Oreochromis niloticus: one gene and its partners. The protein of the gene in region 3 purifies or fractionates together with the protein of the main gene of each other region. This does not show direct contact. Links are inferred from orthologs where the notes say so. Each region holds a gene or a part of one and is shown on either strand. Other genes may lie near its edges.

Region 1 (8,114 bases), on a different chromosome or scaffold from region 3:
ATGGACTGAGAGCCAAGTTCATCTGTATCATCCTGGTGCTGGTCCTGTGTGGCCTGCAGAGTGGCATCTTAGAGACTATGGGGGCTCTGGAGGTTATCCCCTGCACACCACCTTTTTCTGTCTTGGCCCGGTCTCAGTGTAAGTGACAGCACATCTGGACTCCTCCAGTCTTTTGCCTCCCAATCTGGTTTTCCTAAAATAATTCTGCGGTTATTCTTGAAATGATCGGTCACAACATTTTTCAAAAAAATCTATCTTGAAAAGTATTAGATTTTATTTTCGCAGGGTACACCCTGGACAGATCACCAGCATGCAGAACAAGTCTTACACTAACTTGATGTGTCCTTGGCTGAGACAGAATTCTAGTGCAACTGTGCTTTGAGTTCTCATTAATACTAGATAAGCGCTCAATAATCTGATGTGAGCAAATAATAAGATTTAAGACTATAAACCGGAAATCCTTTCATCACTTTGCTAGAACTAAAGTTAGATTTCTTTGAGTTTGGTTATATTATTACATCGGCTATAGTTTTGAATGAAAACTCACACTGCCTCACAAAGATGGAAGTACTGTTGTTTCACCCAAAGCACTCTACACTGCCTGTTAAAATCAGTCCTGTATTGTGCGTTTCATTTCCAATCTTAGTGATCTACCACTACAGTGTGATTGTGGAGATGTTTTGCATTGGCCTGTATGCCCGCCACACATTCCGTAAGGTGGAGCCGAGTGAAATGGAGACGGAGGAGCTGCTTGATGTATGGAGAATGGAAAAGGCTGTCCAAACGGAAGAAATTCAGGCGATGCATCACAAAGCCAGCGTGCTATCAGAGGAGGCTCGGCCTGGTGGATGTCTCATCAACGCCTCCTATAGTCCCAGTTACAACAGTGACAGCGAAGACAGCCTGTGCAGGATAGAGCATGCACCTCTGGATGGTTTCCACTTTCCTCAGGCGAACGGTCAGCACTCAAAGAGTTCAGAGACAGTGGAGCCCAGGTGTGTGGATGAGCCCGGCGTAGCTCTGACACACATTACTGTCAGGGCTGATGTAAATGACCAGGATTCGAAAGATGTCACTGTGGTTTGACCAGTGGGATAGAAAACTTCATAAGATTAAGCTTGACTGCTGAAGATGCTAAAACTAGCCAGGAAAGGGCACTTTGAGCAAAATATACTGCTAAACACTTCAATTATACATCAGATCCTGATGAGCAAAATATCCAATTTAAACTTTGCTGAAGAATGTAACAAGTGACATAACATCAGTCAGTGGAAACCGAAATCATTAAGCCCTTGAGGGCTGGATTCAAGATCAGGTGAAAAATAAAAAAAATATTCCCTTAATTTGATGATATTTTGCAACATATTATTGGATATTCACAGCAAATATTCCGACTATTCTTTAAACATTGCGCCTCACCCCAAACTGCTCTCAAATGGTTATGAAGTGCTAGTTTTACCTTACGCACACTTTGCACTGCCCTTCCTTTTGTTCTACACATAACATTTTGATCATTTTAGTCATTTTTGGCTTTGCATGCTTATTCTGTTTCTGCAGTACTGTCTAAGCATGATACCAAGTAGTTTGCAGCTTTTTCCAATTTCTTGAATAATGGTTACTGGCAAACAGTTCGTAGGTACATTACCACCACACTGCATTACTAATGCATAACATCCTACCAGCCTAAACAGCCACATCAACTATTTACTTGAAGTTCATGACTACTGGAAAGTGATGACCATCCCTAGTACTGGCTTGGGTGTTTGTGGGATTGACCAATAAGACAAAAACTTACACATATAATTATCTCATTTAGGATAATTAGGAGACTGTGCAGAGATACTCATCTCATTTTAAATGTGGTCCAGAAACTTCTTATTCATGTGTTTTAGGTTTGGACTAACCAGGCTGGCTTTTAAAGGTCGCCAAAGATTATGTGCTTCTAAAAATCTTTAATATATATATTTTGTTCTCTCTATTGTTCTTATTATTACTACATATTATTACACTGTTGTACTTATTAATCCCATGCGTACTAATTGTTGTGACCTGAGGAAAATGAATGAAATAAATATAATGTTACAACATAATTGAAGCATTTTAAAGCACTTCAAACCCGTGCTCTTTAGAACTGTGTTTATATGTAGAGATTTGTTGCTTTTGTTTTTTATCTTTAATAAACTGAGTCTCTGAGTCTATAATTAAATGTGACATGTAGGATGATATACGTATAAATGTATGATATAGATAACCACAATAAAGCCCTGTCTAAATTCAATTCAAACTATCAACAAATTTAATATTTTTCTGTGGAAATAATTTGGTACATCAGGAGCTAGTAATGTACCAGTAAGTAGATGCACATTCTTGGAGGTGTGTATAGCTGTTCACCAGCTCGGGTACTTCTGTTTTCCTAACTTCAACTTGACCTCTAGAACCATCTTTAGCAGGAATAATTGGAAGTAATGGTTTTCTGTGCAACGTCATCAGTCTCTCACGTAATTGTGGAGGATCCTTGATTCACTCTTATTTATAGTGTTCCTTCAGTTAATTGAGGTTTGCAGCACTCTTTTATGCATAGCTCTCTGAACACCCCAGTGCACTCCAGTCAGGCTAAGGCCTGGACTTTGACTGGGCCAGCGCAAGACCAATTCTTTGCTGCTGTGCTCAGGATGATTGGGCTTCATCCACCCACAAATCTGTGTGTAAACAAGTGTGCACAAATACACCTCAGTTGTGTGATTCACCAGTTTTCTTAGCTGTCCTTGTTGACACTATATGAACAAATTTTCAGTTGTTGTGGACCATAATTATGAACACTGTTTGTGGGCTAGCTAAAGGTCCTGCTGCTGTATTTCACAGGAAGAGAAAAGAAAGAGAGCTAACTTGACTCAGAGATGGAGAAAGATGAGAAAGACAGGACAGGAGAGGAAGAGAAGAAGTAAGATTTGAAGGCAAGGACTGTTTAGTGGTGTTTGATATACTGTAAATGTAAGTCCTTGTGTTTTTAAATCAGATTGGGTCTCTACGTTGGGTCTTATTATGGATTTTCATAATGTAAAATGTGCTGCAAAACAAACTAGGGTAGATTAACTGTGTTATGTAAAGGCTGATTAAAAATACTGAGTTAGGTTACATAAAAGCTAGCAGAGGTGAATTTGAAGTTAAACTGAGGATACGCATTCACTGAATTCCACCAACTGTATATTGTCTAGTATGAAAAGAGCATAAACAGAATACTGTCAGTGTTGAATAAGGAAGTCAGCCAGGGCAACTCATGAAACATCTGCTGACATCTGGTTGAATTCAGCTGTTTACATCCACAAAGAGCAGCAGGACAATTGATCACAGCCTTTACACTAAGAACATCTACTGGACATCTCCATAGAAATTTTTGTTAGTTAGGATTCTTTTCTTTCTCAATTTATTTTCATTCTTTTTCTCTGCTCATATTCTACTTAACTGATTCAAGCTGAGTGCATTTATTAGAAATAAAATTTAGACTGAAATAAAGTTATATTCCCATCTACTGATATGATTACATTATTACATTAATATAGCACAGGGTTCAGCTTTGCATAAAAATTGGTGGTAGAAACGTTTTCCAAGGATCTACTTTTACTTTCTTACTTAAAGTACATTTCAGAGCATGTACTTTTTCGCTTTTACTTGAATAAATAAGTTGAATCGGTACTTCAACTTTCACTGGAGTATTTTTCAACACTTAAGTACAGAATGTCTGGACCGGAGAGGAGAAAAAGGACATCAGCTGGCAGACTCACTCAAATGGGAATCCATTGTACTGGCTGTATCTGTTGTCTTCCGGCCTGCCCGCCGGACTACTTCTCTAAGCCAATCAGAACGCTCACAGAAGGGCGCTCATCCAATTAGCTTCCGCTACGATCTCTGTGTCGTAAGGCCTTTCGGACCAATGTAGCTCATCCTATTTTGGCGGCTGTGTGGAAAACATGGCGGAAAATTTGAAAGGTAATACATAAGGACTGTTATTTCATTTAATTTTACACTATCTAGTTAATATGTGCGGTTACCTGGTTGTGTCTATATCATTTAAATAGCTCGAATATGCACATTTCTCTTCCTTCGCATTCACGCAGTTTTAACTTAAGCGCGGCGCTTTTACATCGCTGTTATTCTGTGAAGCCTATAGTTCGAAGTACGTCTGCAGTTTAATAAAAGCGGTCTTTTTGTCCAAATAGTTGACTTGAGAACTCAGTAACTTGGATTAAGCTCTTGGTGGAGCTTTCTGTGTATTCCAGGTAGCAGACCTTAGCCGCTGTGTTGAAGTGAGCGGAGGAGTTAGCGGGCTCGGTGCTCGGTAGCGCTGAGCTTGAGGCGCCATGTAGCGCTTCGGGAATGTTTAAATGGCACATTGTGCGTCTTTGGACGAACGTGGATGCAACTCTTTAAAAGGGTTCTAGTTTCGGACCCCTGTACCGGCATGACGTTTGATCTAAAACCAACGCTCACACAGCTATGCCTTGGCTGTCCATTTGCACGAATGCACAAAGCCCAGCAGTAAACTGTGTGTGCTGTCGTCAGATTAAAAATGAATTTTTCCTTACTTTCCACTGTCAGAAAAAGAGTCAAAAGTAACGAAAATGAGTCCAGAAAGAGCAGCGTGATCCGGCTGGGCACTGTCAGTTAAAGGTGTGTGGTGTGTTAGATTGCAGCGTGCCCTGCAAGATGTCCTGGGATGAGCTGGAAGCCATGTGTCGAATGGAGAAACTCCAGTGTCAAGAGCTTGGAGTTAGCAGAGCCAACGTCAATGAATACGAGGTTGAATTCCTATGTGACTACAAGAAGACTAAGGTATGATATCGACTAAGGTATGACGTGGATTGTTGGCAACTGAGACTCTTGTTAGTGTGAAGTTAGGGAAGGTTCATTGGTTTCTTTTCAAAGAAAATAAATTCCTAGTAAATATTTTGGCTGTATTTTTAATTAAATCAGCTGGACAGGGCATGCATTCACTGTTAGACATCACACAGACATGTTTGAAATGAGTTTTATTACAAGTGCTAAAAATACAAAATATTTTTCATTCGTCTACTTTATAGTGAAACATTCTGCTAGTGTGTATTCATTGTACTGTGGGATGGATAATAGTCCTTTTTCCTCTTTGCTCCACTTTGAAGGCAAACGGTCTAACCTGACATTAGAGGAAAGAAGATGTTATAATGCAGCAAGTGCTGCATAACAAACATTGTTCCTAACAGTACAAGCTAGATACTGTGAGACAGTGTAACTTTGGACTGCAACAAACCATGTACTATGGTGGAAATTCCTTAAATAATTTATCTATAATTTATAAGTAATCATGTTATTATTTAGTTTGTATTTAATGTGCTCATATACACTATCTTGCATATGTACAATATTACTTATGTTTCTCACTTCCTATCCATATTTGTTAAGTATGCACGCATATGCGTCTGTACGAGCTGGATCTTACATTCCTGACTCAGAACAGATTACGGTGTTTCTAGAAGAAAACCTTTCAGTATATGTGGTGGAAGTTTTGCACAGGCACAATTGGATTTGAGGTGGCACTCATTTAGTCTTCTCCAAATAGTTAGAATCAATGTAATCTCAGCTAAAACATTCAACTCGATATGCTCATGGTTTCATTGTGCCTTACCTGACTTTTTAATGTTGTTTTGTCTTGGATTTTTTTTCTGTAAAGCATTTTATGATTCCTGATTGTGAAAAGCACTATATAAATAGAGTACTGTGCAAAAACTCTGGAGCCACCCCTCATTTTCGTATATTTTGGGAGGAAAATGGGAAATGTGTGTAGTTATTTATTAAAATGTGTTCTAACATATGAGATTGAATGATGAGACTGAAATTCAACATTTGGTATGACCACCTTTATTATTTAACACAGCCTGAACTCTCTGAGGCAGCTGTCTGTAATGTCTTTAAGTATTTTCAGGAATAGTGCTCCAGTCTTTTTGAAGTACATTCAAGGCTCTTCTTTCGATGTTCCTGCCTTTTGTTCTGTTATTTGTCAGAATGATCTCACAGTGCTCCAATAATTCTAAGGTCAACCCATGACCTATAGTTCAATTTTCTAACCAGGTATGCTGTTACTGTGTTGGCAGTGTGTTTGGGATCATCCTCAGGTGGTATTGCATAGTGAGTTAAAATCTAAAGTACTCTCACTGTTGGAGCTCTCCTCACCTCTGAACCAAAAATGTCACATTTCCTGTCATCACACTGTCAGTCTGTAATTTGGTATACCTCGGCCTCTTCTCCCTTATTCTTTTTATTTATTTATTTTTAAAGCACATGCCTTTCACATAATGAAAAACTATCTACTATAGATAGTTTTTTTTTTTTTTTTAGGGCTGATACTTCCTGTTTAATCTCCTTGTGTCCAGTTTCCTCAAACAAGGATGCTGCACATCATGCTGAGAGTTGCCAGGTTTTCAGCTAATAGCTCTTTGACCTTGTTGCTAATAGCTATTAAATTGTCTAATGCCTGTCAAACTGTGTTACCTTTGGGATTTTTCCATAGAATCAACTCAAGAAATGGAAAATGCCTTTCTGTAACAGGGTGCCTCTGAAGGGAATATTTGGGTATAAGGACTGAAAATGAATGAAAAGTCAGCCGTGTCCACAGAAAGACAAACACCTTCAGAAAACTGGAGAGCTACTGCTCAAGAGCACTTTAAAAAAAATTACAAAAAACTCTGGCTGGTTGGGAGAAAAATGAAAAAGAAATATGAGGGGTGCTTCCAGACTTTTGGACATGATGTAAATATTGTGCGTTTGCTGTGTGGAGATTGAGAACATCTGTTGCCCTTGGTAGGCATGGTAACAGAATAAATGAAGTTTAGGCTGAACCACTATTTGCCCCCCAAAACTGACATTATTGTGTGTGTTTCAGGAAGAGGAGTTGTACCTTGTAAAATGGAAAGGCTTTCCAGAATCAGATAACACTTGGGAACCCAAGAGGAACCTAAAATGTCCCAAACTGATGAAGCAGTTCCATCTCGACTTGGATCAGGAGCTGAGGCGCCACAAGCGACGTTGCATCCCAAAAAAGCTAGATAAAGAAGTTTCCTCATTTCTGCTCCAAAAAGCCAAACTCCGCCAGAGTCTGCAGCGCTGGGAAGACCATCTGAATCATACTCGCAATCATCCAGGGCGCATTTTTGTCATGAACGAAGTGGACCTAGAGGGTCCTCCGAAAAACTTTACCTATATCAACAACTATAAAGTAGGTCAGGGCATTGTGTTAGATGAGATGGCAGTGGGTTGTGAGTGCAAAAACTGTTTAGAGGAGCCAGTGAATGGCTGTTGCCCTGGGGCTTCCCTCCAACGCATGGCCTACAACGACAGAGGACAGGTCCGGATTCGGCCTGGACAGCCAATATATGAGTGCAACTCCCGCTGCAGCTGTGGGCCTGACTGTCCCAACAGAGTTGTGCAGAATGGAATCCAGTTCGATCTGTGTATCTTTAAAACGGAGAATGGCCGGGGATGGGGAGTCCGCACACTGCAGCACATCAAGAGGAACACATTTGTCATGGAGTACATTGGGGAGGTGAGACCTGTTCAGTCATTTTTTTTTTTAAAGTGCCATATCATGCTTCACTGTGAAGTGTAGAGCATGACAAAAGCAGCCAGCAGCTGCTTGATGATTTGACAGATGTGATACATTAATTGAATCGGTTTAAAGTTTAATGATACACGTGACAGCACTTTTGTCTGGTAACTTACAGCTAGAAAGCAAATGAAAAGAAAGGTGTGGTGCACTAATATAGAATTTGAACACTACTAGTATCTTTTCATACTAAGAAAATGCCCAAAGGGTTATGCTTACAAATGTGAAATTGTGTATGTGCACACACACATACATACACAGAGTTCATGTCCTTGTGGGGACATCTAAGGCTACGTTCACACTGCAGGTCTTAATGCTCAATTCCGATTTTTTTGATCAAATCCGATTTTTTTTGTCTGCTTGTTCACACTATAAATAAAATGTGACAGCAAACGCGCTCTAGTGTGAACCCTCAAAGCGGCCCGCATGCGCAAAAGAAGACGTCACACACAACGCGCTCTGTTTAGACCCAGAGCAAACA
Region 2 (8,114 bases), about 3.9 Mb from region 3:
CCTATCGACAGTTGTGTAGCTCCTGTGTCTGAAAACAGTACATTTGGTCTGTAGGCGACTTTTGAAGTGTTTAAAAGAATCACTGCCACGTGAGGACTCTGCACCTCGGACTCCTCACTTGGTGCTGCTTAAATGAAATAATGACAATGATGTATTTTTCTGTATTGCAGTTCACTCAATGCATCTTGTTTTTTGTTTTTAATATTTATTGGATTCAGATATTACCTGGGCAAATTTAAAGCTCCATCCTTGTGTGTTTATTGCCTAGGTATTATTGCAATGGCCCATTTAACAGTGTTTTCGTGATAAGTTATTGGGTTGTGTTTTTTTGTTTGTTTGTTTTTTTTGGTTTTTTTGTTTGTTTTAAATGATACGTGGATTACGTGTGCTGTGATTTCCATTTGTGACCTCAGTGGTTTCCTTTCACTCGAAAGGCATGATGGAATTACTGTAGGAGATTCCCTCTGTGCTGAGCTGTAGCTTGGATATAGGGACACTGTATTCAGTGCACTCCTTTCTCTCAGAGGTTAATCTGGTTTAAAAATGCACAAAATCTTATGTGGGTTAAAGAAAAATACTGTGACACTTGTCGAGGGGATTGGACCTTGTTCACTAGCTCCTTTGCTGGCTCTGAAAACCAACAAAGGAAGGGTTTTTTTGGGGGCGGGGGGGGGGGGGGGGGGGGGGGTTGTTTTGTTTTTTCTTTTGAAACATGCTCAAACACATATGATTTGTATTTGTCAGATATGGATGTACATGTCTGTATCTTTAAAGTGAGAGATGCTAGTTGTACACAGACCTCTCTGGGGCAGTGCAAATGCTAAATAACACGACAGATCTTTCATGCCTCTGAAGTCGAGGGACTTCCTGCACAGTCTCCTCTACAGCTACATGTTCACTCATGTTAAAGATGACCTGAAGCATCGGTTTTTATCGACTCTCGCCCCTGTGTGTCACGAGTGACTAATGTATTAATTTGCTTGTCTAAGGCACTAATGGACCATAGCCTGTTTTTTGACTGTACATTGTGCTCGTTAAAGTAATAAGTGATTAATTTAATATACATTTCTGACTGAAATCCTTTCATCTGGTGTTTGTGTGGTTTTTGGCATTGGTGGGTGGAGGGGCTGGAAATAATTGTGTTCAGAATAACATTGTTCCTGTAGGCCAGCATAATTTCGAGCTTTAGCAATTTGCTGCATCCCACAGCTAGGATTATTTTGAAGACAATGACTTTACTTGGATATATAGACTCTTTAAATCTGAAGAAAACTTAATACTACTATAACAGCCTAGTTATAGACTAACATGGTCTTTAACTGATTCACAGATCTAGTGACATCACCTCATTTTAACTCTGTAAAAACTAAAAACACCTAACATGAATCTTGTGGTGAATAAAGTTAACTAAAAACTAATGCTAGTTAACAAAAGTAGACTTGAACTAAAAACTGAAATAGGTTGATGTTTTAAACAGCCAAGAATGTGCTGCACCAACCAGCATTATTGTTCTTACATTTATTTATTTTTTTTAGTTATTGGTGTTTAAAGAGTAAAGTTTTGTTTTTGTTTTTTTTAAGCTAAAAAAAATATGTGGACTATTTGTCCAATGCAAGATGTGGGAAGTTGCGAATATTCATACGTCTCAATCCAAGCCTTCTCTTGCTTGTGTTGATCAAATACTTTATTACTTTTTTGGTTAGTTTTTGCCCTGGTGTTATTTCAGTTTGTTAATTAAGATTTAGGTTAAAATAGTTTAACTATTAGTTTTGCAGTATTTACCAAGTTAAAATGGGATGATGTCATTGGACCTCTGCATCAGTTAAAAGGCACTCAAAAAGGGAAAAAGCTAACATTTTGGCTGTTAATACTCATGGACCATGCTTAGTTAGACTTTGTCCTACTAGTATTAACAGTTTTATTCATATTTTTAGTGGTCTGCATATCCTAATAGTATGCTGGTAGAGTAATTTAGGTCTACCGAAGTTAGCTATGGATCCTAGCTTTCCCATTGCAGAAGTGCTATAGAAGTGCTATCTTTTCAGCACTAAACTGACAGTGCAAATATATTTGAGGGGAATGGTAATAACCATTTGCTGGCTGTCCACTAGAAGCACTCCAGCAGTTTATCACACTGCATTGCATCTTTAGACAGAAAGGAGCTTTTAATCAGCTGCTGCTGTGGGTCCTGTTATAATGAAAACTGACCCGCTTGCGGGATTTCATCCTAAACACTTCAATTACAGTTGAATACAGTTGAGTTCAACCTGTACAGTGTTGTGTTTCCACCATACATTGCAATATTTGCGTATGTGTTCAAGCAGTGTGGTTCATTTTCAGCACTTAGATCAAATTAAGAGCTGATCCTTCAGATCAGGATGCCAGTGCGGCCACAGCTGCGCTGAGAGTACACTGGATAAAATGGATAAAGCCCTGCCCTCACTGTGTGTAAATTACCTTGCATGCCCTGTCAGTGAATGAGACACCCAGCTCAGACCTGTGAGTGTTCTCTGAAGCTTCCAGTAAGATCCATGAATGACAATATACAAAACAAGGTGTAATTTTGATAATTACAGATAATAAGAAAGATGTTTTAAGTGCAGACCATAAGCAGCACTGGGGCGCGAAGGAAAGATTGATGTGTTTGTATGCAAAGTTATTTCCTCAGAATAAATACACTTCAGGGTGAATTAAAGCTGCTGAATTATTTCCTTGGCGTTGCACGTCAGAATCGAGTTAATCTGAGGGATGTATTTGTCTAACGGGGATCATTACAGCTCCTATCAAGTGTCTCATGTGCCTCAAGTGTTCATTAGAGAAGTGTTGCTTGCATTTTAATTGGATTAAAAGATGAATAGATCAGCAGAAGGATCACGCAGAGTGCTTTCCATTGTGTTTGGAGTGTGTATTGATGAATTGGACATTGTGCTTGATGATAGTGGTTCTGATTGTAATAAAAAGTAAATAATTGCACCTGAATAGTCTGGAGGGGGAACATAAACACAGCAGTGTAGAGAAAAATAGCTTAAATTCAAGGTTACCACACACTCGATCGATCTGAAATTACATGCTTGAGCGATCCACATCATCCACTCTTTGACTGCACAAATCGAGTCTGATTGGACCATTGCTAATTGGTCTAAAGTGAACACCCTTGTGTTGGTATGAGCAAAGGAAATCGCAAAGAAAAAAAATAAATAAATCTTTGTCTTCGCTAACTTTTTGTTGGAGACAATGCTAATCTAACTTAGCTGTTAGCCTTAGAGATACATACTGCAGTACAGCCATCATATGTGTAAATATGGCACTTCGTGTGTCCATTCTGTTTGCAGTGTCTGACTTGGGTGTGAGCATAAATCAGGCAGTGCAAGTGTTGGTTATCAGGTCATTACAAAGAAGAGACTGTTGAAGGGATTATTGATTTGCTTATCCAAAAACTGGATAAAATATATATATTTTATCCAGTTTTTGCCAAGTTAACCTTGATTGTTAAGGTTAGCGCGCAGGCGACAGTCAGATAGGTGGTTAACGCAGCGCTCAAGCTGTGCTTGAATTACCTGTAGGCGGGAAAAGGTGAAGGTAACATTGTTAACCTGGAAATTGCTCTGATCGACTTTTACAGTTAGCTACAACTACGTATAAAATATATGTAACAAGGTTTCGCAGTTGGTAAAAATGACCACATGATGGTAACTAGCCATTTTGTCATGTTGTAACTGTAAAACACAATAAAAAATCCTAACACTTAATCTTTTGCTAGCCTAAAGACATCTAACCTACTCATTTCGCTTTCTCCCTCAATCAAAATGGTGGCTCAAAGTAATTGGGTACAGAAAGTAGCATGATATGACATCACACGCCAAGGACCACCCATTTAGCTCATTTTCTCGACACCTCATTGGTTGGGCTTGGTCGTGTATCACGTGACTTGCCGCTGTGGGGGGTGGGGGTCGCAGGAGCCACGCCCCCCTACCTAGCTATTAGATGGGAATGGGAAATATGGGCTCACCCGGTCAGATGTGGCATGAAATTCAGAAAGTGAACCACAGAGTGCGTCATCTGGGCAACCGGGAGCCGGGCTGAGGGTCCCAGTGAGAGAATAAAAAGTTATTCAGGTTTTAGCAGGCGAGCTCTCCCATTGGTCAGTTTGTGCTGTATGCAAATGAGGCAGCTACGTCAGATCCTGAACTTGAGCGCCATTTTTTTCCTCAATAGGGGGGAAGAAAGGGACAAAAGCTGAACCAAAAAAGAAAAAAAATAACTTGTCTCCGGAGTGGGTTCGCAAACATCACGTTTCATATTTAAGCAGGGTGTTCGCAGAGCGGTGTGCACGGACAGCGAATGCCGCTCGGGGGAGCGTCTGCGCGCAGCACCGCCTGTAGACGCAGCTCACTGACACACACAGTTGCGGGCCGGTGGAAGTAGGAAACCCTTAGCTCTGTCGGTGGTGGCACAGCGACAACTAACGTTAATCTACGCTGAAAATTGGACGAGGTAAATATGTGCGAGGAGGCTGTGGGCATCCTCGAGTAGGCGGATGCGCCCTCGCGGTCTTAGTCACCGGCTTGTTGCTGTCAACGTGCCTCCCCGGGCTTTTTTAGGACTTGAGTGCGGCCAGCAGACACATTGTAGTGTTAGCATGGATGGCATGTGCGAGGGGGACAGGCTTTTTAGTTTACAGGTGATCTAAATCTCGCACTTTTAACTGACTAAAAATAACTTGTTTTTTAGTGCTCACCGGCGAACGGCTGGTGTTTTTGCACAAATGCTGAGAGTGATATCAGCTGATGCACACTCACTGTTATGGCTTTTATTTGTGTTACCACAGAGCCTGTGCAGACATTATACCCATATTCAGCCATGCTGTGATTCTCATCAATCAGTACTAAATGCAGGCAGGTTGTCACTATGCTGCAGTGAATTATTTAACTACATCATTATTACCCGGTACATTATTCCATCTTCATTTACGGTTTATGTGTTTTATTTATTGGCATAATAGGGTTATAAATTATTGATGTAATACTGCATACATTACCTGACCTCAGCTAACCTTTGTTATTCTGCCCAGTGTGTGCCATTTTCACCTTTTCACCATACTATTCACTTGTTTTGGGGGCTACAGAAAATATTTTTACTAATTTATTGATGCTACAAGTGGAAAAACAATGGTAATTTTGTAGGCTGGGAAATATCATGATGTATGTTTGCACTATAAATGCAATAAAAGCATATTTTGATAATTATTTTATAATTAATAGAAGAGCACGAATGCTTTGTAACCAGTTGAAAACTTATTTTTCCTTTATAAGGGCTTGTGAGGAATCATGTATCAGGTCCCGGTTGGAAGTATCGAAAAGATTCGCAAAGCGAGGAAGGCAGTGAAGAGCATCTTGAGTGAGATCGGCCTGGAAGACTGTCAGAACCTGCTGAAGGTATGTTTCTGTCGTGGAGAATAATCTGACAGCTCTCTCGGCCTGAGTGTTGTTTACTCTGTTCTGCTCTAGTAACAGCAAGTCAAGTAGAAAGAAAGCAGAACGTGCTGATTTTCAGACACGCGTTAGCCCATGTTTGTTTAAAAATAACATAAAAATGAAACTGAGATTTTTGGATTGTCTTAAAAAAGGCTCATTTTGAATTTAATGTGAGTAACACATCCAGGAAGCAGGGGACAGGTTATGTAATGCTGGTGCAACATAACACACCTAATTAGTTTAATTGGTGACCGTTCAGCAACATGGCTGGGTATAAGAAGAAGTCTCTTCAAAAAGAATAGTGGTCCTCAGTGTAAAAACCGCAGCATTTGGGTGTTTCATCATCTACATTGTTGTAAAAATGTGGTGTCTTAAGGGTTTTGCGCTGGTTGTGGCTGCGATAGTTGCCCTAAGGAGGCCCGGGATCAGAGAGGACAGAGTGCTCAGTGAATTTTCTTCACTCATTGATTTATTAGAAATGCCAGAACCACAGGGGGGCGGCTCACAGCTGTTAGTGCCCTGCCAAGGCTTTGGGCCGAGGCTGGCAAACGTGTGGCTCCCGCTCCCTGCAGCTAAGACAAAAGAAAGAGAGAGGAGAAAAAAATGACTTTATTATGGAGTAGTTATTTTTCATTTTTAGTCCTTGTATTTGTGAGTAATGTTTTACATTTTCCAGTTGTAAAAATGTTCTGCCTTTAAAAAACAAAAAATTGAATCAGTTAAATCAAAACCTACAACCACCTTAAATTTTGCTGGACCTAAAAAGCAGCAGCTGGCATGGATGTAGACAAATAAATGGGTTCAGAGTCCCTCCCACTGTTTGTTATGGACTCCAACCCAAAAGAGGAAAAGTTTAAGAGGAAATTGGAGACTCTTACACTGTATGAGCAGATTCGGTATGCTTGATCTGGATGAGAAACTAGCAAAACGAGAAAAACAAAATGAACAAGCACGTAGCGATGCTGATATTTGTAGGGAGGGTCAAAAATGTTTCTTTTGATGGTAAGTGTTGCCGACCTCTGCTGTGTGAAGCTCGTCACCTCCGAATGTTGAGAGCTGAATCCTGCGTTTTTCTGTTGTCGATATTTTAATGAAAGTTAAGGTGGAGTGTTGGTGGGACAGGCTCTGTTGTTGCTCATTACATCTCTCACACACACACACACACACGATACAAACAGATAATAAACAGTAGTTGGTGCACAGAGATTGGTCCACACGATAGAGCACACTTTGTGTGCACACAGCTCTCAAATTCCACTTTCACATATTTTGTTTATTTTCGTTCTCTGTCAGTGATGGATAATACTTACATAATATACTGACATCTCTGAAACAATACAGCTGTTAAAGTCTAGATCTACCATGTGTCTGAATTAGGGCTGCCACAAACGACTATTTTGATAGTCGACTAGTCACCGATTATTTTTGCGATTAGTTGACTAATCAGATCATGCATCCATTGAACGTAAAACATACAGCTTATTGCACCAGCATGCATCTGCTCTTATATAACTATCATTATCTTCCAGCTTTAAGTGTTTAAGGTATGTGCTAACTAAAAATAAAGACAAGATGATAGTTTATTGAATTTAAATGAAATTTGCAGATTGTTTCGGAGGAGTTTAATAAACGCAGCCGTCTGCTCCTTGCTATCTAAAATATAACAGGACACCGGAGTATATTCTCGAGCATCTCACACTTCTGATAATCAGTCGTGGTTTATTCAGCTGTGTAAAAACTATAACTTTCATCTCAGCCAAACCGATTTACTCAGGAACAAATAAAATACTGAAAAAAGCCAAACAATAACATTTTTAAGTTATCTAAGTGACTTATATATCATGTTTAATCTGAGTAGCGAAAGATGGCGGTGGGTTTGAAAACGATTTGCCGGGAGTCCGATGTTCTCACCGGCTCTAGTGAGGCTTCCAACACCAGCTAGCTATCGAGCTAGTGGGTAACAGACATCTCCGAAAACGTCGGAGCGCTTTTGAAAATATGTGATGTCTTGATAAACTGAGCAGATATTTTAAGTTTACACAGCTACATTCCCGCCTGAAAATATATTAAACGTTTATTTTGTGACCCAGAAAGAATAATAAGAGTAACATTAAAACTAACTAGCTGCCGCCATTGTTGGAAACTGAGCAGGGCCGCGATGGGTCGCGCTATGAATTCTGGGACAGTTTCTTCTTCTTCGGGGTTTAACGGCAGCTGGCATCCTTGTGCATGCAGTGCTGCCATCTTCTGTTTCAGTCCGTTATTACACTCTTAAATCCTACTACTTATTCCTGCGTGTTTTGCGATCTTACAAAGCTTCAAACGACGTGTCGACTATTAAATTAGTCGTCGACTATCGTGACTCGTCGACTAATCGTGGCAGCCCTAGTCTGAATCTCAGTCTTATGTTGTCCTGATGTCTCTGAACGTGACTCAGGATTTTTCAGACCAAAAGAAGTCTAGGCATCTGCTGATTGTGTGTCATAGCACCTCCTTCACTTGTTATAAATTCTTGCAGCATTCACATTTCACATCACACAATGCACATCAGCAGAGTTTGTGAGAGTTTCTTTAAACTGAGAGTGATGTGCACATTTTTATGTGTGATACAGCTTCGGTAAACAATGATTTGTGGGTTTA
Region 3 (8,114 bases):
AGAGCAGCTCTGGAGGTCCAGTCTCTCCAGGTTGGTTCAGATTGCATTCTATACTTGGAAAAGTTGCATGTCTTAATTTCTATGTTTTGTGAAGCTAAGAAATTTTCTGTTAAATATACTGACACAGTCATTAACTCCTCACTTTGTCCAGGCTCATCTGAGATGTCATCCTCATCCAGTTCATACTGCGAGGATGAGTGTGGAGCTACAGGCTACAGCAGTGAGGCAGACTCAATCCCCTCTAAAGGCATTGTTGACTACACCACAACATGGCCACCTGTTGAGAGTGTGTGGCACGACCACAGCTACTCATCTGCCAATTTCTTTAACCAGCCGTCAGTAACGCTGCCTCGCAAAAACATCAAGGAGGAGCCTCTCAGCGATGACGATGGATTTCGGCTGGAAGAAGGGGAGCTGAGTCGTGATGAGCTGCGCGCCCGTGCTATGTGTCTGCCATTCTCTGTCCTGCAGATAGTTAACATGCCTGTTGAAGAGTTCCTGGAAGTTCTTGATGGTCATGGCTTTTCCCCTGAACAGGTGACCCTCCTGAGGGACATCCGCAGGCGTGGTAAGAATAAGCTGGCAGCCCAAAACTGCCGCAAGCGCAAATTAGATGCCATCACTGGGCTCCAGGAGGAGGTGGAAAGGCTGCAAGTTCAAAGAGACAAACTGCTGAGGGAGAAGCACCTTACAGCAAAAACAATGGGTGCTGTGGGCCATCAGATAAGGCAGCTGACCAGAGACATCCTGTCCCGGCTGAGGGATGAATCAGGAACACCCCTGAACCCAGACAGATTCACCCTGCAGTGCGGGGCTAACGGGAGGGTTGTAGTTCAGCCTGTAAGACGACCTGCTGTCTCCACATCTGGCAACAAAACAGACAAGAGAAAGAAGGAAAAAAAGCAATAATGCAGCATTTCCTGCTGAGACTTGACCTTTTCGGTTTTGGGATATTGCGGAACCTAATTGCCTGACTCTGGTTTTAGGGTCTCCTCTTTTGCAAAAGTGTGTGTTGATTCACCACTGTTGAGAACCTAAATTCAAAAAGAAAAGACACTCAAAAAATAAGTAAATGAAAAAAAAAAATGTAAATACATTATTTGATGGGAAAAATGTAGATCACACACTGGACATTCTCTTCTTGTTATAGGTGGATGTGGCCGATGGGGTAGTTTAAGGGAACAGCTAAGCTGTTGGTAATGCCAGCAGTCTCTTTGTGCCTGTTAACATTAAAGTCATAGTCTTTCTCATTTTTACAGAAAATTGTTGGCAATCACACATGTCTAAAAGTCAACTTGGCCAGGATTGTGATATTTACAGACAGGATAGAGATCTAAGAGGAGGATTTACCTGTAATCTTGCCTTTAGTGTTTTCCTACTTGGTATAAGAATGAGGTTAAAGGATTGTATTTATTAAACTTTCTTAGGTCCCTGAAATGCTTATAGAACTGTTAAGGATGTTTTTTTTTCCCTCTCCCAAAATGGTAACCTTTGGTCAGAGTGATAAGAATATTGGGTTATTACAAGTCCAAAGTTTACTGATTTGTTCCCAGTATTTGAGGGCATGCACTGTTTGAGTAAAAAAATTAAACTGAAATTAAAAAAAATGAAATAGATATCTTTTGCTTACATGTCTTGATGACGTGCAGTATACCAATGACTCAAAGGACTTGGCCTTAATTTGCATTTGATGTGTTTTGGTAAATATGTGTGTACATCATACATAAGTGCATATATCCATAACAAAAAAGTTCTTACATAAGAATTCAACTATAATTTAACCCCTTTCATTTGAAGTGTTTTAGAGTTTTTGGCAAGATTATTCTACCTCACAGCTTAGTCTTTGTTAATTTTGGCTACATTAAAAAAAAAAAAGCTCCCACCCCGCTTTTTTTCTTTATTTTTTTTGTCGTTTGAAGTGCACTCGATAACTACGATTCCATTATAAATGTGACCATAATCACACATAAAAGATTCAATTTCTGAAACAGGAAAAATACAATCACCAACTTTATTTAAGAGGTCTGAATGCTGTTTGAATGTGTGTGTTTGTGTTTTTTTTAATATTTATTATCTGAGAGTAGAATCAAGTGGAATTAAAAGTCCGCATCTTATTTATGTGTACACACTTTCAAGTAGTCACCTGAGTGAGTAAACTGAAGAAAGATGCATAAAGTATTTGAACAATGATTAATCTGAAGAACAAGTTGACTGAACTTCCTTTCTTTACAAGTACTTGTGAGATATTTTTAGATTCTCAGGCCCCAGTTTAGTTTTTTTTTTCTGGCTAAAATCTGAAATTCCCTAAAGTGCACTTGTTTAATAAAAATCCTTCATTATCAAAGTCACCCAAATTAAACAAACTGCTAAAAAACCCTAAATAATAAATTACTGATTCATATTTAAGAAGTTTGAATGTTGTTTGGATGCCTCCTTTTTATATGTATAAGATTATTTGACAGTTGAAGTATTAATAGGGATTGCCATCCTGTTCCTGGTTATGCTGCGCAGTAGAGTCAGCTGAGTGAGTGAAATTGAGAAAAGTCCATGAAGTAGTTTATGTGGCTTTCAGTTTTTTTTTCCTTTGTTTGTATTTTTTTGTTTGGTTTGAACCTTTTCTTTGCTGTTTGTATGAATTTCATTTTCGTAAATATTTGCTTTGTTTCTGAAGTTAAATGTGTTTGATTCCATTGTGATTTTTCAAAGTGTGCATTTGCTTACAGAACTTGAGTTGCTCCTGCAGACTTTTTAAAATAAAAAATAAATCTTTTGAAATACTTTTGAATGGCCTTGATTTTAAAATCAACATATAGGAACATATTATGGAAAGAAAATGCAGTCTTAAAACATCAATAGAATTTAGATCAGGGATGTCAAACATAAGGCCAAGGGGCAAAATTGGCCTGGCAAAGGATGCAATCTGAGCCACTGGACAGCTTTTTAAAATGTAAAGGATGGTACACATTTTGGACTTTTTAACTGTATTTCCATGTGTTTTACAGCTTTTCCTAATGATAAAAATCCTACTCCCATCAACATTCACACCAATTTGAGTAAGTCATAGGTAATATTAGATTTCAAAAATACTTAAATGACAGAAACGTTTCTGATTTCTGCAGTGGGTTCACAGTAAATAAATAAATAAGGATACAGTATTATCAATACACAAAACCTTTCTATTTTATAGTTACAGGACAGTCTGGGCAACGAGCAACCTTAACTACACATGCATTTCCTACAATCTAAGCCCAAAGAGTCGTGCTGACTGAGTTCTCCTATTTAATACAGCTTCATTTCTTTATCATGCAAAAATAACTGAGATATACTGTTGAAATTGCACTTCTTTTTCTTATATTAAGATTTTGCGGATATTAAACGTGTAATTAAACCTCTTTACACTGGTCCGGCCCACTTGTAAACAAAACTGGCTGCATGTGGCCCACGATCCAAAATGACTTCGATATCCCTGATGTAAAGTTCTAGGCTTCATTATCTACAGGTTTTGGGGAGCGAAAAGCGTTTTCCAACCGGGCTTCCGTAGATGGTGCACAAGTATGCGCACAAGTATGCGCGTAAGTATGCGCGTCAGTAGCTTTTGGCGCCCGTGCTGTTCAGCCACACTCTTGTAGACATAAAGAATCAACTGACCGCGTGGAAAAGAAGTGCCGTTGAAGCGATTCTCTTGTTTTAGGGTATGTATGCAGATACCGACTTGTTTCAAAAAGGGTTATCATTAACAGAGGTGTCAGAGTTAATTGGTTCACTGTAGCGAAATAGCAGTATATGCTAACCAGTTGTTTTACCATTTGGACGCTGTTTCGAATGAGAGAGAAACGATCTGTTGACTACAGTTGCAGTACTTTAACGTCAACAGGCAAGCGAAAGTAACAGTGTCTGTTCCTCGTTATGCTGTAGTTGTATCCTAGAACTTAACATTATTTATCCGTTTGTAAAACGTCGAGTGTCGCGTTGAAGTTGAGTACGTTGTTGTTAGCGCAAGTTACGTTAACATTACCCGCACGCTTTTTTTGTGCCAGCTCACCTATTTTAAGTCCCTCCGCATTGCAGGTGACACGATAAAAGTGAAGTAGGGTTTCCCTAACGGTTAAAGGCCAGCTAAAGTTAGCATGCGAGCTAACGTTATAAGAATTTGGGTATCTTTGAATACTTTAAGAGTTTATCGCTAAGCTAGCTAATGCTGTGTTTTACTTCCCGTTGGTGGTCGTCCCTTTGTCAAGGTTGCCTAATTTTATTACCCTAATGGGCAAATAACAGTCCTCACACTTAAATTCGTTTACGATCCAGGTGTCTGTGGCGGTGTGGTTTGCCAGGTAGGATGGATTTGCCAGAACAGCGGCTTTAGGGCCTATGGCCAATCCTAAATGTGGATATCAGGAGCACATGAATGTGAAGGATTTGTTAATATCAAACTCTTATCGAATTCCGTTTTTTGTTTGTGTTTTTAGATCACAAAATGGGAAAGAAGCAGAATACCAAGAGTAAGAAGGATACACAGGAAACACAGGAGGAACCTGAAGAATTCGTTGTGGAAAAAGTGCTGGACCAGCGTGTTGTGAATGGGAAAGTAGAATTCTACCTCAAGTGGAAAGGATTTACAGAGTGAGTTGGCTGGGACTCCTGCCCCCCTCCTGCTGAGCTGGAAGTGCTTCCCTGGTATGGGGTTGTGCTATACTTTTGTTTGAAGTCATTGTGGTTGCATGACGACGGTACCTTTATTCAAGCAAGCTAGCTGATGCTAGTATTTGCATTTTTTTTTTTAAAATGGAAATCAGTGTGAATTGGTGCAATGCAAATGTTGACTCTCTTTCTGCTCATTTAGTGCTGATAATACTTGGGAACCAGAGGAGAACCTGGATTGCCCTGAGCTGATTTCAGCATTTTTGGAGGCTCAGAAGAACGTTAAGGAGAAACCTGCGCCTGTTAAGAGGAAGGCCTCCACGGAAGAGCCAGAGACAGAACCTAAGAAGAAAGATGTGGTGAATTTCTTTGCTTTCACACGTTTCTGCAATTAGCATGTCCTAAAGACAATTTCAATTTAGGACAGCAAAGCTTAACACGGGGGCCATTCAGAGAAAAGTTTGCATAACTTAAACAAAAAAGAGCATTATTATAAATGAATGTATTATATACATAATACATACATAGGTATATACATACATAATACATATAATCATATTTGTGCTCAGCTGGATTTGTACATAGACATTTAACTGTGCATTATACTCTTGAAATGCAGCTGCTTCTGAACTTATGCTAGAATATGCAAGGATTTTAAATGAATCAAAATGTGTTGTTTTGTCTTTCCTATCTTATATGGCTACATTCTCTGTTGTAACCACCTACAGGCTGAGAAACCACGTGGCTTTGCTAGGAACCTCGAACCTGAGCGAATCATTGGCGCAACAGACAGTAGTGGGGAGTTGATGTTCTTGATGAAATGGTACATTTTTAAAAATATTTTCTAGATGTTGTAAAGCCCTTTCTTTGGATGGTTGGAAATCTGTGTCCTTGGAAGCAAAATATAATGAAATGAGTGTTAGTTCAAGACCTTAGCGCAGTAATGTTTTGTTAATCTAGTTACTGTGAAGGCAGTGTAATTCATAGGACGGATGTGCATGGTATACAGTGAGTCACTGGTGTTTTATGCTACGAAGATAGACGGCCAGCGAATTCAAAAGTATTGAGTGCTATGATTAATGGATCCTTCACAGTACAAATAATTATCCTGAAATACTGTAATACCAATCAAAGAAAGTTTAAAGTGAAGGAAGTGTAACTGAGTGGAATTACTTGGATAACCATGCATTTTATTTGTGGAAGGGGAGAAAAAAAGTCTTTCTCCCTGTTGGATACACACCAGTCAGCAACTGATGTCCAAGGCTTCAGTTGTTTCCTGCAAGAGGGTTGTGTTTTGTTTTTTTTTGTTTTTTTTTTTTAAATTTATTTATATTTAAGTTGTTGTTTGCATTTGAGGTCTTAAAAATCGGGAACTTCCTTTGTTTCACTAAATTTTTTTTCTTAAACCCTTGAACTTGAATCTCAGTGTCTACACTTCAGTTGCTTTTCACTGCTTAGATTTTGCTACATGGTGTACAGAGCCACAGTTATGAAACTGCCACTGTCTAGTCTGTTCCTGCTGTAAACTTTTCTCAACTTATAAACTTAGTTGATTTCAAGTACATTAACTTATGCTGGCTTTCTATAATGTTCCTCTCTCTCAATCTGCCTTCTTTTAGGAAAGACTCGGATGAGGCAGATTTGGTCCCAGCCCGTGAGGCCAACACCCGCTGTCCTCAGGTGGTCATATCCTTTTATGAGGAGAGACTGACCTGGCATTCCTGTCCAGAGGATGAAGCCCAGTAGTTCTTCTCTGCAACCCATGCAGTTGCCTACATCAACATCGTCAACCTTTTCCTCAGGACTGGATTTCTCCTGACTTGCCTTCTAGGTCTAGCTAAATTAGTCTTTTTGTTGTTGTTTTTTGTTTTGGAAGAAGTTTCAACATTTGCATGGCAGTCGTGGAGAGTTCTGTTGTAAATATAAGCTTAGCCGATTGTGAGAACAGGTGAGGGTGTTTTTGATTACGAAGGAAAGAAGGAAGCCTTCCTGTATTGTTGTGAATGATTGATCTCTTTAGCCCCTTTTCAGACACGAGATGTACAACAATGTTGGGTTCAGCAGTCTGCTCAGCAATCTGTTATTCCGACATGGATAACGCTTATGTTCCTAATGGCTTCATTTAAATGTATTCAAGATAGTGAAGGAGAGCTCTGTAGTATGCACAATTCAACCATACATTCAGAAGACTTGTTTGTGGGTGAGGTGTAACTACAGTTTTGATTTGTTTTCTCACCCCTTTTCATTAACAGCACAGGATCTCACTGTGTGTCGCTCAGAGCTGTGCACTTCCTTCTGGAGTGTGAATTGTAAAAATGCTTCATAGAGAAATGAAACTGTATTTAAAGTGAATAGCTAAAGTTAAGACTAAATGTCATGCATAATATTGCAGTTTAGGGCATTAACTAGTGAGCTTTGCAACTCAGAGATTCACAAGATACAAGTACAGTTGTAATCCAGTGCATGTCGTTACTAATACTTGGTTTAGTTTAGGTGCTCATTTAGACATGAAGTCAACACACTGAGATGCAGCCAGATTCATGGAAGCGAGTGCACAGCTGAAAAAGGACGGTTGATTAAAGCCACTTCCACCTTCATCTTTGTTTAAATGTTTTAAATACCAAAATGCTTCTCTCACTCTGCCACCTTCTTGCTCATGTTTTCTACTGTAGTGATGTTTTGTTCCATAAATACTTTTTGTATACTGTCTTTAAATATTGTTTGTCGTTCTAATAAAGGTTTTATGCCAGATTTTTTTTTTTTTCTTTTAGTTTTTATGGGTTCGACTACAAATACAGACTTTACTGGCAGTAATGCGCAGAGAGTTGCATATGAAACAAAGTTAACAATTAGGATTTCCTTATGTTCCTAATGTTTCTTGGGTGAAGTTTTTTACAGTTTTGTCTTCATGCTGCAGTGCTTTGGTTGTCCCATGGTTTCACTCTAAATGCAAGACTGCATGACGGCATGGGAGATAGACAGTGAACCTTTGTGCATTACTGATTTCTGTGGGAAATCACTCAAGTTTCTTTGAAATGAAGTGATTTGGACAAGGTCATGATAGATATCCAGCCTTTAGTCCTACCAGGAAAACACAACTGTGGCATGAAAGTTCACCTACAAATGTGATATCAAACAGCCATTTTCTCTAAAAAGGTGCGTTTATGTTCTGTAAAAGCTAAAGAGTAGTGGGAAGCTTGCAGAAAGGATGCAGGGATGGAAAATGACCTGTTATTCTCATTTCCTCATAAGTGTTTAGCTTTTAAAAAAAAAAAAAAAATTGACATCTTGATTAAATCAAATATCTAATCACAGCAACACAGTCATGTCTTATCTGTTAAGTGCTTGAATCATTTCACTATAGACATACAGCTATAATAATGGAAAGAAAATGTCAGTGCAGCAATTTAAAAAACACAAACACATATAAATGGTAAATGGCCTGTATTTATATAGCGCCTTTATGGTCCCTAAGG

Evidence for each region.
Region 1: the proteins of cbx3a (region 3) and histone-lysine N-methyltransferase SUV39H1 purify together in Homo sapiens (affinity purification with mass spectrometry; 3 studies listed by BioGRID and IntAct, with this or other methods). This does not show direct contact. The link is inferred for Oreochromis niloticus from reciprocal best matches to the Homo sapiens genes CBX3 and SUV39H1.
Region 2: the proteins of cbx3a (region 3) and adnp2b purify together in Homo sapiens (affinity purification with mass spectrometry; 3 studies listed by BioGRID and IntAct, with this or other methods). This does not show direct contact. The link is inferred for Oreochromis niloticus from reciprocal best matches to the Homo sapiens genes CBX3 and ADNP2.

The regions. Positions count from the first base shown.
Region 1 is NC_031984.2:36,834,723-36,842,836, reverse strand, and holds the start of histone-lysine N-methyltransferase SUV39H1, read left to right. Parts: upstream 1-3,882; 5' UTR 3,883-3,968; coding exon 3,969-3,987; intron 3,988-4,684; coding exon 4,685-4,830; intron 4,831-6,913; coding exon 6,914-7,573; intron 7,574-8,114. Other genes in the region: si:dkey-16n15.6 (organic solute transporter subunit alpha), read left to right, coding at 1-138, 647-1,086. UniProt on the Homo sapiens protein: Histone methyltransferase that specifically trimethylates 'Lys-9' of histone H3 using monomethylated H3 'Lys-9' as substrate. Also weakly methylates histone H1 (in vitro).
Region 2 is NC_031985.2:21,370,582-21,378,695, reverse strand, and holds the start of adnp2b (activity-dependent neuroprotector homeobox protein 2b), read left to right. Parts: upstream 1-4,202; 5' UTR 4,203-4,494; intron 4,495-5,312; 5' UTR 5,313-5,327; coding exon 5,328-5,435; intron 5,436-5,636; exon of another isoform or gene 5,637-6,046; intron 6,047-6,352; exon of another isoform or gene 6,353-6,393; intron 6,394-6,491; exon of another isoform or gene 6,492-6,901; intron 6,902-8,114. UniProt on the Homo sapiens protein: May be involved in transcriptional regulation. May play a role in neuronal function; perhaps involved in protection of brain tissues from oxidative stress. May be involved in erythroid differentiation.
Region 3 is NC_031985.2:25,231,031-25,239,144, forward strand, and holds cbx3a (chromobox protein homolog 3a), read left to right. Parts: upstream 1-3,535; 5' UTR 3,536-3,692; intron 3,693-4,307; exon of another isoform or gene 4,308-4,331; intron 4,332-4,466; 5' UTR 4,467-4,474; coding exon 4,475-4,620; intron 4,621-4,840; coding exon 4,841-4,997; intron 4,998-5,366; coding exon 5,367-5,461; intron 5,462-6,257; coding exon 6,258-6,384; 3' UTR 6,385-7,389; downstream 7,390-8,114. Other genes in the region: nfe2l3 (nuclear factor erythroid 2-related factor 3), read left to right, coding at 1-30, 152-909.